2 linked regions of the Oryctolagus cuniculus genome follow. The protein of the gene in region 1 binds, or shares a complex with, the protein of each later gene. Links are inferred from orthologs where the notes say so. Each region holds a gene or a part of one and is shown on either strand. Other genes may lie near its edges.

Region 1 (4,152 bases):
AAAAAAAAAAAAAAAAAAAAAAAAAAAGCAACCTCCTAGAGGGCAGCCAGATGCCAGGGCATCAGGCTTCCAGGGTGTGTTTGTTGAATAAACAGACTCACAGCACAACATCCTTGTACAGCAGTCTGACAACAGTCTGGGGCAGAAGCCTGGCTTTCCCATTTTTACAAAATCTTACACGAGTCTGATTTACTTTCTGGCTCACTTGCCATCCTCCCTGGCCCCAAGGTAGTCTCTTATCTCCCACCGTCGCGGGGAGGCACAGACTTGCGATCAAACACCGGCGTTCCGAAGCCTGGGCGATGGGAACCACTAATGAGGAAGTCAGGCGCTCAGCCTTGGGGGATCTTATCCCCTGCATTAACCCACCGCTGAGAAGCGGACCCAGGGAAAGAAGGCTGACCCAGCACGTGGGACCCTGTCCGCTCTGGCTCGGGGCCACTTTGATCTCGCACGTCTGCCTCATCAAGGTCATCTCAGATTCCAAGATTAAATAGTTAGATTATCAGATGGCCATTTCCCTCTTCCCTCTACCACCCCTGATCTAATTTCCAAACTCCAGTCTCTCGCCTCCCTCTCTAAACTTCCCATCAAAAGAGAATTAGTTCTTCTTCCTTGTTGACCCGCGTTTGATGTGCAAATTCCCTTCTCTTTGCACTTCTTTTTTTTTTTTTTTTTTTTTTTGCCGCTGTGGCCGGGCCGGGAGGCGGTGTGTGTGTGTGTGTGTGTGTGTGTGTGTGTGTATAGGGGTTACAACTGGATGAACCTCAAGCCTAGGACCTCACCCACGCCTGCAAAACCGCGACTCCAGGAGGGCTCATGAGCAACTTGCAAACGGCCACCTGGTACACCTCCGGCAGGGACGGTCGGCTGGAGCCTTTGCGTTAATCTTTTCAGGCTGCATCTAACACTGAATGTGATTTTGCTTGTACGACAAACCAGGGCCGGTGGTGGAAGACCGGCCAGGAGCGAAGAGCGGATCTGCAGCGAGTGCTGACCGTGAGGCTCTGCAGCCTGTTGCAGGTCCGTCTCGCCCGCGCCCTGCTGCCAGGCCAGTGCACCCAGGGTCTCAGGGTCCCTCCCGCCTCCAGCGAGTCCTCCGGTCCACTGCCCCAAGCTGTCCGAGACGCGTCAGCCCGAAGCTAGCTGGGCGGAGGGAACACCTCGCGAGGTTGGGGCGGGGTGACGAGAGTCAAAGGCCCCGCTTCTTGTACACAAACACACCCCCTGCCAGCCCCTCCCAACTCTTTGAAATCCCATCCCGGCTTTGTCATCCTCTCCCCCCACCCCCGGAGGGGCCGGAACGCTCCGAGCCCGCTGTATAAAGGCAGCCGCGGTGGCGGCGGCGGTTCAGTGCTGCCTGCGGCTGGCAGTCGGGACGCGGAGACCCTGACCCCGCAGCCGCGCCAGCACGGCTTCCTTCGGGACCGGGCCTGCGAAGGGACGTGCCTCCTCTTTTTCCTTCTTTCTCCCACCGAGTCCTTCTGAAATGACGGTTCTGGGCGCAGTGGCCGCCCCGCGGGTCCTGGTCGCCCTGGTAGCGGCGGCTCTTAGCAGCCACCCTCTGCTGGGAGTGAGCGCCACCTTGAACTCGGTGCTGGTCAATTCCAACGCCATCAAGAACCTGCCCCCGCCGCTGGGCGGCGCTAACGGGCACCCGGGCTCTGCAGTCAGCGCCACGCCCGGGATTCTGTACGAGGGCGGGAACAAGTACTTGCCCCTTGACAACTATCAGGTGAGCGGGGTCTCGGGGGATGCTGCCACGCTGCGGCCTTCCAGGGCGGGGGGACCCATTTGCCGGCGAGGGTGGAGGTTGAGGGTGCTGGGCGTGTCTGGTTGAGGGTGAGAACCGGCAGCCCAGAGCTGCAAGGGCTTTTGGAGAGGGGTTCAGCCAGGTGACCCTGACGAGCGTTCGGGTGCCTGGCTCCTCACCGTCTCCCCGCCGGCTCCCCGCAGCCGTACCCGTGCACAGAGGACGAGGAGTGTGGCACGGATGAGTACTGCGCGAGTCCCGCCCGCGGAGGGGGCGCCGGCGTGCAAATCTGTCTGGCTTGCAGGAAGCGTCGAAAACGCTGCATGCGTCACGCGATGTGCTGCCCCGGGAATTACTGCAAAAACGGTGAGTCCGGCGGCTGGCTCCCGGCTCTGGCTCTGCGAGCGCTGGGGCGCCCGCCACCTGCGAGCGGGAGGCGGAGTTGGCTGCAGATCTCTTCCCTGGGAGCAGTAGACAGAACTCTGCAGTTCTCCTGGCTTTTTCCTCTGTGCCCCTGGGGGGCCAGTTGAGACTGGAGAGGAGAGGGCGAGGAGGGGGTCCCTGAGAAATACCCGGGGGACCAGCCCTGACTTTCACTGCCCTGGTCCCTTTTTCTCACGGTGACTCTCAGGGCTCCTCCTTTTGAAACTGATGTCTGGTGACTTACCTGCGCTGGCCGTTTTTCAGGGAGATCTTGATACCCTCACCCGTGGGGTTCTCGGCCCCTCACTCTTCCTTCCACCCTCGCGACCTTAAAATAAGCACTTCCCTTCCCTCCCTCCCCACACCGAGCCACTAAAAGTTAAAGCCTCCGGGGTGGCGACCCTTCTCGGGACCCAGCTGGACCCCGGGACGAACTTAAGTCTCTGTGATAGAGAAATGACATCGTCGGGGAACTGGTGAGACCAGCATCCTCCGGGCAGCTGGAATTGCATTTGCTTGACGCAGTCTGGCAGGACTCATAGAGCCCCAAGTCGCAGCAGAGAAGTTGTGTTGAAGAACAATGACGATTTCTTTTTCCTTACTCCAAGGGGGACAGTAAAATGGGCAGAAACCTCACTGCCCCTCCCACAGTTTGTGGGAGAGTATTTTCAATGGCTCTACCGGGACTGATGCCCGGGAGGCAGCCGTGCACACGTGGATGCTGCTGTCCGCTGGGGAGTTCCGCAGGGACACTAGGGAGGAAAGTTGCCTTGTGCTTAAAATAATGCCCCTGCACCTGAGAGGTACCTCACGTGCATCAGTCACCGCAGAGTGCTTCTGTCACAGCTGTTGGCAAAAAAAGCATTACCGCCTGGGAGTTAATCACTGTTACCTGCTTCCTTAGGAATATGCATGCCTTCTGATCACAATCATTTTCATCGAGGGGAAATCGAGGAAACCATCGTCGAAAGCTTCGGGAACGACCACAGCACCTCGGATGGGTATTCCCGCAGAACCACCCTGTCTTCGAAAATGTATCACGCCAAAGGTAGGCGGAAGGTGCCCTGATTCGTGGGCATGCCTAAGCTGTTTTTGTAGTTGTCTCCCTGGAATGATGATGGCTTGGCAGTGACGGGTTTTCCTGCTGTCTCCTCCTTCGCAGGGCAGGAAGGTTCCGTCTGCCTTCGCTCATCAGACTGCGCCACGGGGCTGTGTTGCGCCAGGCACTTCTGGTCCAAGATCTGTAAGCCCGTCCTCAAGGAAGGTCAAGTGTGCACCAAGCACAGGAGGAAGGGCTCGCATGGGCTGGAGATTTTCCAGCGCTGTTACTGTGGAGACGGGCTGTCTTGTCGGCTGCAGAACGATCAACATGAAGCCAGTAACTCTTCCCGGCTTCACACCTGTCAGAGACACTAGACCAGTCGTGGACATGCGGTGGACTCCTATAATATATACTAGGGAAACCTCTTATGACTTTTCTCAGCTCAGTCCTAAGGATGTACAAATTCAATGATTACCATTAAGCATTCCAATAATACCTTCCGAAAATCTGGAGTGTAAGAGCTTTGTTTCTTGATGGAACTCCCCTGTGATTGCAGTAAATTACTGTGTTGTAAATTCTCAGTGTGGCACTTAGCTGTAAATGAAATGAAACTTCTTAATTATTTTTCTAAAAGTGCTACATTGTCTATTGTTTCTCTTGTTATGTAAATGTTTGTATACATTGTTACCTTGACTCTGATAAATATTCTATATTGAATTGAAATAAATAATTTCAGTTTATGGTTCCAGTTCTTAAGTGTATAGCCCCTTTCCCTTTTAATTCTAGAGTCTGAAAAGGCAAAGAACTCTTGGTAGAAATGATAGGCACCTAAAATTTACCATGAAAATATGAGCTTATTTTTCAAAATGTACCATCTCAATGATTAGATTTTTATTTCCTACTAGGCTGTGATAGTCTTTGAAATAAAATTTCA
Region 2 (3,517 bases), on another chromosome or scaffold:
CTGTTCTGCACTGGGAGTCAGCTGAGAGAACACGGGCAGACCAGGGCTGGCTCGCGCTCCACATGACCGTGAGGCCAGGCAACCCCGATCCCACATGTGGGCACCGAGCGCCCCTCACGGCCCCCAGCAGGGTGTGCCCCATGTTCTCTGTGAGCACTCCTGAAGCTGCTCTGCAGGCCACGAAAGAAGCCTGCGTGCGGAAGGTGTCAGGTTTGACATGAGGGGACTACGAGACCCCCTTCTCAGGCCCTCCATGTTGGAGGAGGTGCATCCCAGGCCAGTACCCACAGAGCCAAGCGCCAGGGCCAGCACAGAGCATGGGCTCTCCTCACACCTGCGGGTGCTAACGCCAGGAGTCCACACTTGTGCAGGACCAGCTAGCCCTCAAAAGAACCTGAGAATTCTCCTAGGAGAAACCGATCCGTGTGTGGCACAACAGAGAATCAAGGAACCTTAACATGTGCTAACCCTACCCACCACCCTACCGCATCCAGAGCGTCCCTGAGCCGGGGCCAGCCACGGCCACCTGCGTCTCCTTGGCCCCGCTGCACTGACACCCCCACCGTCAGATCAGGGAGAGGGACGCAGGGAGGGCTGGGCGCCAGGCCTCGAGTCTCTCTCCTGCCGGTGCAGCAGGAGGAATTCAGGGCTGGCCTACCCCTGCTGTGCGGCACCCATTCCTGGTCTGTAGGAGGGCGTCCCAGGAGAGGCCAAGGGGGAGGGAGCGGCAGCGAAGAGTCAGTCCGAGGAGCCCAGGAGAGGTCGACCCCACCAGCCTTGAGTCTAAGAGGGACCGCACGTCCTAGGCACGTTGGGGTTTTAGTCACTCACAAGGGGATTACGGTCATCTTGCTGACTCTGACCCTTGAGCTTCTTCTTGAAGATGGAAATCGATGTAGAAGGCTTATAAAAAATGCTCCAGATTTCCCCTGAAGTCCCTGGCTGACGACAGTCCCGAAGGTCCCCGGACGCAGGAACACGATGGGATCTGCCAAACAGAAAGTTTCAAAGTAGCACGGGACAAAGCACCCACAACACTGACGTTCACACGGGACGTGCAGCAGGCACCTTGCTGGTGAGGGCAGTGGCCTGCGGCAGCACAGCACCGGGGCAGCCTCACCTCGGCAGCTCTGCCAGTAAGAGAGCGCTGCTCCGGCCGATTGCGAGTGTTCAGATTGCGCTTCATTTTTATTATTATTATTATTATTATTATTATTATTATTTTAAATAAAAGAGCTCTTTCTTCAAATGCCATTTACCTGGAAGGCAGCCTAGCTAAAACAGGACAAAGCAAACCCCCTCAGCCTGAAGTAAGGACCCCACCCTTCGGCTTCTGCCGTCCTCCGCGCTGGCCCTGCGGTCACAGAGCGCGGTGTGCCTTTTCACAGGGGCGTGCCCAGTGATGCCTCACAGAAAGCGTCCTGCTCTCTTGCTGCTGTGGGGAACGTGCAGTCGGCCTCCCCAGAGCGTGTGAACCGTAACTGACAAAATGCAGGAAAAACCACTGGCCCTCCATCTACACAGCGTCCACACCGGCACGTTTAACCAACAATATCGTGCTTCTCTATGTTCTTTATAGCGTGGTTATTCCCCAACAGTACAGTGACTACTCGTGCGGCATTTACATTGTGTTAGGTATTATAAGAAACCTAAGGGACTGGGAGGATGTGCTCAGATTATAGGCAAATACTACACTACAGTCTAAAAAAGTTATTTCTCTTCAGAGAGACAGAGATCTTCCAACCATCAGTTCACTCCCCAAATGTGCACAACAGCTGGGGCTGGGCCAGGAGCCTGGGACTCCCACGAGGTGGCAGCCATCACCTGCTGCTACCCACGGTGTACACTGACGGGAGCCTGGGAGTGGGAAGTAGAGCTGGGACAGACCCAGGCCTTCTGACACAGGATGCACGTGTCCCCAGTGGAATCCTAACTGCTGCGCCAAGCACCCGCCTCCTCCCCCACTTTATATACAAGGGGCTTGAGCAGCTGCAGGTTCTGGTATCCAGTGGGATCCTGGCACCGATCCCCCGAGGATGTTGAGAGACAACTGTATACAGAGGAAGCATGAAGGAGTTCAGTAAACTGCTTCAACTGGAGAGAGTTCACGACCAGGCGGGGAGGTCTGCTACGGCAGCCCCAACACTGCCACAGGCGGCCTTCGCAGGACAATGGAGGGGCCTGCATTTCACATGTAAACAGTCTGTGGCCGAGGTGGGGGGAAGGTCAGAGGAAAGAGGCCTCTGTAGAACATCTGTTCCGGAAGGCCTTGAACTGGGAGAAGAGCCTGAACTGGGAACCACAGGAAAGACCAACCAGGGCTCTAGAAAACATTAGGGAGAACTGGGGTGGGCAACTGACTTGGGAGTCAAGACTTCTTACCCGAATGCCTCTGGTTCCTGACTCCAGCTCCCTGTCAGTGCACGGCAGGCAGCAGCGAGGCTTCACTAGCTGGACTCCTGCCACCAACATGGGAGGCCTGGACTGTGTTCCCAGCTCCTGGCTTTGTCCTTGGCACGGGCCTAACCGCATGGGCATTTGGGGAGCGAACTAGCAGATGGGAACCCAACTAACAGAGGGGAACCCCTTCTGTCTCTCTTTCAGCTTTTCAAATAAATAAATACAAGTTAGGAAAAAAAATAAGGACAACTCCCCTTTGTAGGTTCACAAACATCAGAACAAACTCCCCTCTCCTAGGAGGTGAAACTGTTAAACCCAAACAGCAAAGTCAAGGGAGGAATTTTTTTTTTAATGAACTTGGTCAGAATCAAAGGGTGAAGTTTCTGTAAGTTTCTTAAATACATTTTAAAAACAATTATTAAACTATAGTGAACAAAACATTAGAATTCTTTTCCCAAGAACGCTTTCCAGTTTCTGGAAGACAACGGGAACATGTGTGGTTCTGTCCCAGGAATCTTCATTCTCTCATAAAGATCTCTGAGTAAGAGCCCAGCATGAGCCAACACAGGGAAAGGGTTGCTTTCATGCCAGGGCTGTTTCAATCCTCCTTGAAATCAGATCCTTTGGACACAGGGGCAGACCTAATGCTCAGGCCCCAGTGGGCTCTGTCCAGTTGCACATTTCACTCCAGGGAGGAGGATGGGTTACTGCTTTTTGCTGCCCAGGACTAAGGGATTTGGAATCACGTTCTGATACCACCGTGCCCTGAGTGACGAAGCGTATTAGAAGAGGCATTCTCTGCCCCACCCCCACCCCCGGAACGGGCAGCTCTCTCGCATACTCACTTGAATGTGACGTGCAGAAGTATCTTTGCTACAATGGCTGTGACTGTGAGGATGAGGAGAGTTGCTAGGCCATACACTGTCCACCCTGCAAGTGAACAGACAGAGTTTACTGGGCCTCTTTGTGCCTTGTTTCCAAACTGAGGTCTAACAAAAGCCCCAAGTGAACACTGGCAGCTTGGAGAGGCAGGGCTGGCTGAGGGGCCCCTGCAGGTGGGCACCGGGGAAGGTAGCCAGCAAAAGGTAGCGGACTGGCTGACAGCCAGGCTGAGCAG

What was found. Proteins that work in one complex are often made in the same cells at the same time.
Region 2: the proteins of DKK1 (region 1) and KREMEN1 are in contact, whole or in part, in a crystal structure (PDB 5FWW), measured with the Homo sapiens proteins. The link is inferred for Oryctolagus cuniculus from reciprocal best matches to the Homo sapiens genes DKK1 and KREMEN1. Residues at the interface, in NP_036374.1 of Homo sapiens: Cys189, Leu190, Arg191, Ser192, Ser193, Cys201, Arg203, Trp206, Ser207, Lys208, Lys222, His223, Arg224, Arg225, Lys226, Gly227, His229, Gly230, Leu231, His261; in XP_011528731.1 of Homo sapiens: Pro67, Asn88, Asp90, Asp92, Ser94, Trp96, Gly105, Val106, Tyr107, Trp108, Tyr110, Asp127, His128, Gly129, Pro132, Thr140, Asn142, Glu164, Ser165, Tyr167, Ala168, Phe170, Asn189, Val191, Phe193, His196, Asp203, Gly204.

The regions. Positions count from the first base shown.
Region 1 is NC_091446.1:45,399,019-45,403,170, forward strand, and holds DKK1 (dickkopf-related protein 1 precursor), read left to right. Parts: upstream 1-1,348; 5' UTR 1,349-1,489; coding exon 1,490-1,735; intron 1,736-1,956; coding exon 1,957-2,119; intron 2,120-3,080; coding exon 3,081-3,224; intron 3,225-3,338; coding exon 3,339-3,592; 3' UTR 3,593-3,972; downstream 3,973-4,152. UniProt on the Homo sapiens protein: Antagonizes canonical Wnt signaling by inhibiting LRP5/6 interaction with Wnt and by forming a ternary complex with the transmembrane protein KREMEN that promotes internalization of LRP5/6.
Region 2 is NC_091452.1:22,586,503-22,590,019, reverse strand, and holds part of KREMEN1 (kremen protein 1), read right to left. Parts: intron 3,331-3,517; coding exon 3,246-3,330; intron 989-3,245; coding exon 820-988; 3' UTR 1-819. UniProt on the Homo sapiens protein: Receptor for Dickkopf proteins. Cooperates with DKK1/2 to inhibit Wnt/beta-catenin signaling by promoting the endocytosis of Wnt receptors LRP5 and LRP6.